Linked DNA regions of Saccharomyces cerevisiae S288C. The protein of the gene in region 1 interacts with the protein of each later gene in a biochemical or structural test. Each region holds a gene or a part of one and is shown in the gene's direction. Other genes may lie near its edges.

Region 1 (3,757 bases):
AAGACGAAATCACACGTATAAATAAATATAGCAGCACGACCAGCTTGGAAGTTCAAAAAAAAAAAAAAAGTGAAGATAGACAATCATAGGCACAATTTCTGATGGTAGTGAACATATAATGGGCAGACCAAGCTCTAGCAACTTAATGCAGAGAAAGATTTGAAGCTACCGCCGCGTGTTCAGCGTGACTCTCTATAATAGGCCATTTATGTACAAGATCTTCTGCAATCCTATCAAGTATTCGTACTACTATTTTCCCTGCCAATTAGACGTGATGAAAAATATTGCTGGGCTTTGGTTTGAAAACGACTATTTAAATAAATATTACCTTTCCTTTTCTTCAATTGTTTCTCATCTCCTTCGGCCTCCGTTAAGTATATGTTTTTTTACGCGTTGTCAATGACAATACCGCAGGATGCGAATGTGTGACTTCGTAATCATCGGTGTGAAAAATACTCTAACTTTAAACAAAGGTAACATCTAAACTGTCTGGAAATATGCAGCTATTCCCATGTATACACACTAGAAAGAACAGTATTTCCCAGGTCCCAGAAGTTCTCTGTATATGTAGTCCTACCCGTAATTTACCCTTTGAAGAGATAATCTGAGCACTCAGATTTCGACCCTGATGGGGTCACTTTTCTGAATCATTGCTGACATTGCTTCTGAAAAGTGTTGCCTGTGTCTTTATTCCACTTATGAGTTGGTAAGCTTCCTCACAATTTATAATGGGTTCCGATAGCTAAATCACGTTTAACGAAGATTTCGCCGCCCCTCTAAATCGGTGGCAAAAATAAGAAAGTAAGTGGTAATAGTGGCGGTAGAGGGTTTATTTGGTAGTGCAGTTGTAAAGCTTTCAAACACATTCGAGCGTCGCATCATCAAATTAACAAAAGCATAACTCTTCAGCAATGACATCAATTGGTACTGGTTACGATCTTTCCAATAGTGTTTTTTCCCCCGATGGTAGAAATTTCCAAGTAGAGTATGCCGTCAAAGCAGTCGAAAACGGTACCACATCAATCGGTATAAAGTGTAACGACGGTGTAGTCTTTGCAGTGGAAAAGCTCATTACGTCTAAACTGCTGGTCCCACAAAAAAATGTCAAGATTCAAGTCGTAGACCGTCACATCGGTTGCGTTTATTCAGGTTTGATTCCTGATGGTAGGCACCTGGTTAATCGTGGTCGTGAAGAAGCCGCCAGCTTCAAAAAGCTGTATAAAACGCCCATTCCCATTCCTGCATTTGCAGACCGTTTAGGACAATATGTGCAGGCGCACACTTTATACAACAGTGTTAGACCGTTCGGGGTCAGTACCATCTTTGGTGGTGTAGATAAAAATGGTGCTCATCTTTACATGTTGGAACCAAGTGGCTCTTATTGGGGCTACAAGGGGGCTGCCACTGGGAAAGGTAGGCAATCTGCGAAGGCTGAATTGGAAAAATTAGTTGACCATCATCCAGAAGGTCTTTCAGCAAGAGAGGCCGTTAAACAAGCTGCAAAGATTATCTATTTGGCACACGAGGATAACAAGGAAAAGGATTTTGAATTGGAAATAAGTTGGTGTTCACTGTCGGAAACGAATGGTCTGCACAAGTTCGTTAAGGGCGATCTGCTACAGGAAGCTATCGATTTTGCCCAAAAAGAAATTAACGGCGATGATGACGAGGACGAAGATGACAGTGATAACGTCATGTCCAGTGATGATGAAAATGCTCCAGTGGCTACGAATGCAAACGCTACCACTGACCAAGAGGGTGATATTCACCTAGAATAGGTGACATTCTGATAATACGTTAAGAAGAACCAAAGAGTTGAAATAATATGAACTCACGTGTAACGCCGCGAAACAAAAAATACATTTTAGTACCTTCCATTACATTTTACGTAACTAGATAAACTTCTCATTGTGCACCATCTTATCATTATTACTTGATCGCCTAATACTTTTATTCTTCTGACACCTATTACCCTCCTTTCCATATTTTGGATAGCGGGAAACTAATGAAAAATTTTCTTCCACGCACATTGAAAAATATTTACGAATTATATTTCAATAACATCTCAGTACATAGTATAGTATCTCGCAACACACAGCTCAAAAGGTCAAAGATAATTCAAATGACTACCGAGACTTTCGAAGACATTAAGCTAGAGGACATCCCTGTTGACGACATTGATTTTTCCGACCTGGAAGAACAATACAAGGTCACTGAAGAATTCAATTTCGATCAGTACATCGTCGTTAATGGTGCCCCAGTCATCCCATCCGCCAAAGTTCCTGTTTTGAAAAAGGCTTTGACTTCTTTGTTTTCCAAAGCTGGTAAAGTTGTTAACATGGAATTTCCAATTGATGAAGCCACTGGTAAGACGAAAGGTTTTCTCTTCGTGGAATGTGGCTCAATGAACGATGCTAAAAAAATTATCAAGAGTTTCCACGGTAAAAGACTGGATTTAAAACATCGTTTGTTTCTTTATACTATGAAAGATGTTGAAAGATATAATTCTGACGACTTTGACACCGAATTCAGGGAGCCTGATATGCCTACATTCGTTCCATCTAGTTCCTTAAAATCCTGGTTAATGGACGACAAAGTGAGAGATCAGTTTGTATTACAAGATGACGTGAAGACTAGTGTGTTCTGGAACTCTATGTTCAATGAAGAAGATTCTTTGGTGGAATCTAGAGAGAACTGGTCTACCAATTATGTTAGATTCTCCCCAAAGGGTACCTATTTGTTTTCTTACCATCAACAGGGTGTAACTGCATGGGGTGGTCCAAACTTCGATCGTTTGAGAAGATTCTATCATCCAGATGTAAGAAACTCTTCCGTCTCTCCGAATGAAAAGTACCTGGTCACTTTCTCCACGGAACCAATCATTGTAGAAGAAGATAACGAATTCTCTCCATTTACCAAGAAAAATGAGGGTCATCAATTATGCATCTGGGACATTGCTTCTGGTCTGTTGATGGCAACTTTCCCAGTGATAAAGAGCCCATATCTGAAATGGCCTTTAGTTAGATGGTCTTATAATGATAAATATTGTGCTCGTATGGTTGGAGACAGTTTAATAGTTCACGATGCTACTAAAAACTTCATGCCATTAGAAGCTAAGGCTTTGAAGCCTTCTGGTATTAGAGATTTCTCATTTGCTCCAGAAGGTGTTAAATTACAACCATTCAGAAACGGTGACGAGCCTTCTGTTTTATTGGCTTATTGGACTCCTGAGACTAATAATTCCGCTTGTACTGCTACCATTGCTGAAGTTCCTCGCGGTAGAGTGCTAAAAACCGTTAACTTAGTTCAAGTCTCCAACGTAACTCTGCACTGGCAAAACCAAGCTGAGTTCCTGTGCTTCAATGTCGAACGTCACACAAAGTCTGGTAAGACTCAATTCAGTAATCTACAAATTTGTAGGTTGACTGAAAGAGATATACCAGTTGAAAAGGTTGAATTGAAAGATAGTGTCTTTGAATTCGGTTGGGAACCCCACGGAAATAGATTTGTTACAATTTCTGTTCATGAAGTAGCTGATATGAATTATGCTATCCCAGCAAATACAATCAGATTTTACGCTCCAGAAACTAAAGAAAAGACTGACGTAATTAAAAGATGGAGCTTGGTCAAAGAAATTCCAAAAACTTTTGCCAACACTGTTTCTTGGTCTCCAGCGGGTAGATTTGTGGTTGTAGGTGCTTTAGTGGGTCCAAACATGCGTAGATCAGACCTACAATTTTACGATATGGACTATCCA
Region 2 (3,757 bases), on another chromosome or scaffold:
AACAAACACAAATTAATTTTTTCAAAGGAAGAGATGGTTTAGTTAATTTGAAATCATCAAATTCATTAAGACCAAGATCAAATGCTGTGATCAGACCGGATTTCAAGTTTGAAGATTTGGGTGTCGGTGGTTTGGATAAAGAGTTTACTAAAATTTTCAGAAGAGCGTTTGCAAGTCGAATCTTTCCTCCTTCAGTTATAGAAAAACTGGGTATTTCTCATGTTAAAGGTTTGCTATTGTACGGTCCTCCAGGTACTGGTAAGACCTTAATTGCAAGAAAGATTGGTACAATGCTGAATGCCAAAGAGCCCAAAATCGTCAATGGTCCAGAAATTTTGAGTAAGTACGTTGGTTCTTCAGAAGAAAACATTCGTAATTTATTTAAGGATGCAGAAGCAGAATATAGGGCCAAGGGTGAGGAATCTTCCTTACATATTATTATTTTCGATGAGCTGGATTCTGTTTTCAAGCAGAGAGGTTCAAGAGGTGATGGTACCGGTGTAGGGGACAATGTAGTTAATCAATTGTTAGCTAAAATGGATGGTGTTGATCAATTGAATAATATTTTGGTTATTGGTATGACCAATCGTAAAGATTTAATAGACAGTGCTCTTTTGCGTCCAGGTAGATTTGAAGTCCAAGTTGAAATTCATTTACCCGATGAAAAAGGAAGACTCCAAATTTTCGACATTCAGACGAAGAAAATGAGGGAAAATAATATGATGAGCGACGATGTTAACTTAGCTGAGTTAGCTGCGTTAACAAAAAACTTCTCTGGTGCTGAGATTGAGGGTTTAGTGAAGAGTGCAAGTTCTTTTGCAATCAACAAAACCGTCAACATCGGGAAAGGTGCCACAAAACTTAACACTAAAGATATAGCAAAACTTAAAGTAACAAGAGAAGACTTTTTAAATGCACTCAACGATGTTACTCCCGCTTTTGGGATTAGTGAAGAAGATTTGAAAACATGTGTGGAAGGTGGAATGATGCTTTATTCCGAACGAGTTAACTCAATATTGAAGAACGGAGCCCGTTACGTCCGCCAAGTTCGCGAGAGTGATAAATCCAGGTTAGTATCTCTATTAATCCACGGCCCTGCAGGGTCCGGTAAAACAGCTTTAGCCGCTGAAATTGCTTTAAAATCTGGATTCCCATTCATCAGGTTAATTTCTCCCAACGAGTTGTCAGGCATGTCAGAAAGCGCAAAAATTGCCTATATTGATAACACTTTCAGAGATGCGTATAAATCTCCACTAAACATTCTTGTTATTGATTCGTTAGAGACTCTAGTTGATTGGGTACCAATTGGTCCAAGATTCTCTAATAACATTTTACAAATGCTAAAGGTTGCATTGAAGCGTAAACCCCCACAAGACCGTCGTTTATTGATCATGACTACTACATCAGCTTATTCGGTACTTCAACAAATGGATATCTTGAGTTGCTTCGACAATGAGATAGCAGTTCCAAATATGACCAATTTAGATGAATTGAACAACGTCATGATAGAATCAAACTTTCTTGACGATGCTGGTAGAGTTAAAGTTATTAATGAATTATCAAGGAGCTGTCCTAACTTCAATGTCGGTATTAAAAAGACCTTGACCAACATTGAAACCGCAAGGCACGATGAAGATCCCGTGAACGAGCTTGTTGAGTTGATGACCCAATCCGCATAATTATTTCAAATTTTTCATGTCCTTGTATTTTTATTCTTTATCCCTTCCAATCAGAAAGGATCTAGTGAACAAGTTCTTTCCTCTATGGTATATATTTTAGTGATAAATTTTATAAAATTATCAAAACCAAGGCATCCTTTCCTTTTATTCTGTCATTGGAATCTGCCTGTCATAATTATCACCCACCGGGTAAAGATGATAATTTTTCAGTCGCTTTGCCCGAGAAGCTTTGCCAGGTGAAAAATTTTTCTTGGTGAACTAAATCGAAAGTAGATATACTTACAACTATAGAGAGAGTTCCAAAATAAACCATACAAACGCCCAGGAAACATCAAGATGGCCCCCCCACCATTCCGTCCTGAAAATGCCATTAAGAGAGCCGATGAACTTATTTCTGTTGGCGAAAAACAAGCTGCTTTACAATCTTTGCATGATTTCATAACTGCCAGAAGAATCCGTTGGGCTACACCTTCAACTGTTGAGCCAGTCGTGTTTAAATTCTTGGAAATTGGTGTTGAACTAAAGAAAGGTAAGCTGCTAAAAGACGGTTTGCACCAGTACAAAAAATTAATTCAAGGATCTACCGAAGGTTTGGTTTCTGTCGGTGCCGTTGCACGTAAATTCATTGATTTAGTCGAATCTAAAATCGCTTCTGAACAAACTAGAGCTGACGAACTTCAAAAGCAAGAAATCGATGATGATTTGGAAGGTGGTGTTACCCCAGAAAATTTGCTGATTTCTGTTTACGAGTCAGATCAATCTGTGGCTGGTTTCAATGATGAAGCCATTACTTCATGGTTAAGATTTACTTGGGAATCATATCGTGCAGTCTTAGATTTATTGAGAAACAACGCTTTGTTGGAAATTACTTATTCTGGTGTCGTTAAAAAAACTATGCATTTCTGTTTGAAGTATCAGCGTAAAAACGAATTCAAGAGATTAGCTGAAATGTTACGTCAACATTTAGATGCTGCTAACTACCAACAAAGTAAATCAGGAAACAATTTAGTTGACTTGAGCGATGCTGATACCTTGCAACGTTATTTAGATCAACGTTTCCAACAAGTCGATGTTTCTGTCAAGTTGGAATTGTGGCACGAGGCTTATAGATCCATTGAGGATGTTTTCCACTTAATGAAAATATCCAAACGTGCTCCTAAACCATCTACTTTGGCTAATTACTACGAGAATCTCGTAAAGGTCTTCTTTGTTTCCGGTGATCCATTGTTGCACACTACTGCCTGGAAGAAGTTTTATAAGTTATATTCTACCAATCCAAGAGCCACGGAAGAAGAATTCAAAACATATTCTTCTACAATTTTCCTATCCGCTATTTCTACCCAACTAGACGAAATTCCATCTATTGGCTACGATCCTCATTTACGTATGTACCGTTTATTAAACTTGGACGCCAAGCCAACTAGAAAGGAAATGTTGCAATCCATTATTGAAGACGAATCCATTTATGGTAAAGTTGACGAGGAATTGAAAGAATTGTACGATATCATTGAAGTTAACTTTGATGTCGACACAGTGAAACAACAGCTGGAAAATTTATTAGTCAAATTGTCTTCTAAAACCTACTTCAGCCAATACATCGCACCTTTAAGAGACGTCATTATGAGAAGGGTTTTTGTTGCTGCCTCTCAAAAATTCACTACTGTCTCCCAGTCCGAATTATACAAGCTCGCTACCCTACCTGCTCCGTTAGACTTATCTGCTTGGGACATCGAAAAATCGCTGTTACAAGCTGCTGTGGAAGATTATGTTTCAATTACCATCGATCATGAATCTGCTAAGGTTACATTCGCTAAAGATCCATTTGACATTTTCGCATCAACTGCTTCTAAAGAAGTCTCTGAAGAAGAAAACACAGAGCCAGAAGTCCAAGAAGAAAAGGAGGAAACTGACGAAGCTCTTGGGCCACAAGAAACTGAAGACGGTGAAGAAAAGGAAGAAGAATCTGATCCTGTTATTATCCGCAATTCTTACATCCACAACAAGTTGCTTGAATTATCCAATGTCCTACACGATGTTGACAGTTTCAACAATGCTTCATACATGGAAAAGGTTAGAAT

What was found. Proteins that work in one complex are often made in the same cells at the same time.
Region 2: the proteins of PRT1 (region 1) and RPG1 form a complex in vitro, tested with the Saccharomyces cerevisiae proteins (4 studies listed by BioGRID).

The regions. Positions count from the first base shown.
Region 1 is NC_001147.6:1,015,901-1,019,657, reverse strand, and holds the start of PRT1 (translation initiation factor eIF3 core subunit b), read left to right. Parts: upstream 1-2,005; coding exon 2,006-3,757. Other genes in the region: PRE10 (proteasome core particle subunit alpha 7), read left to right, coding at 912-1,778. UniProt on the Saccharomyces cerevisiae protein: RNA-binding component of the eukaryotic translation initiation factor 3 (eIF-3) complex, which is involved in protein synthesis of a specialized repertoire of mRNAs and, together with other initiation factors, stimulates binding of mRNA and methionyl-tRNAi to the 40S ribosome.
Region 2 is NC_001134.8:396,536-400,292, reverse strand, and holds the start of RPG1 (translation initiation factor eIF3 core subunit a), read left to right. Parts: upstream 1-2,015; coding exon 2,016-3,757. Other genes in the region: AAA family ATPase SEC18, read left to right, coding at 1-1,679.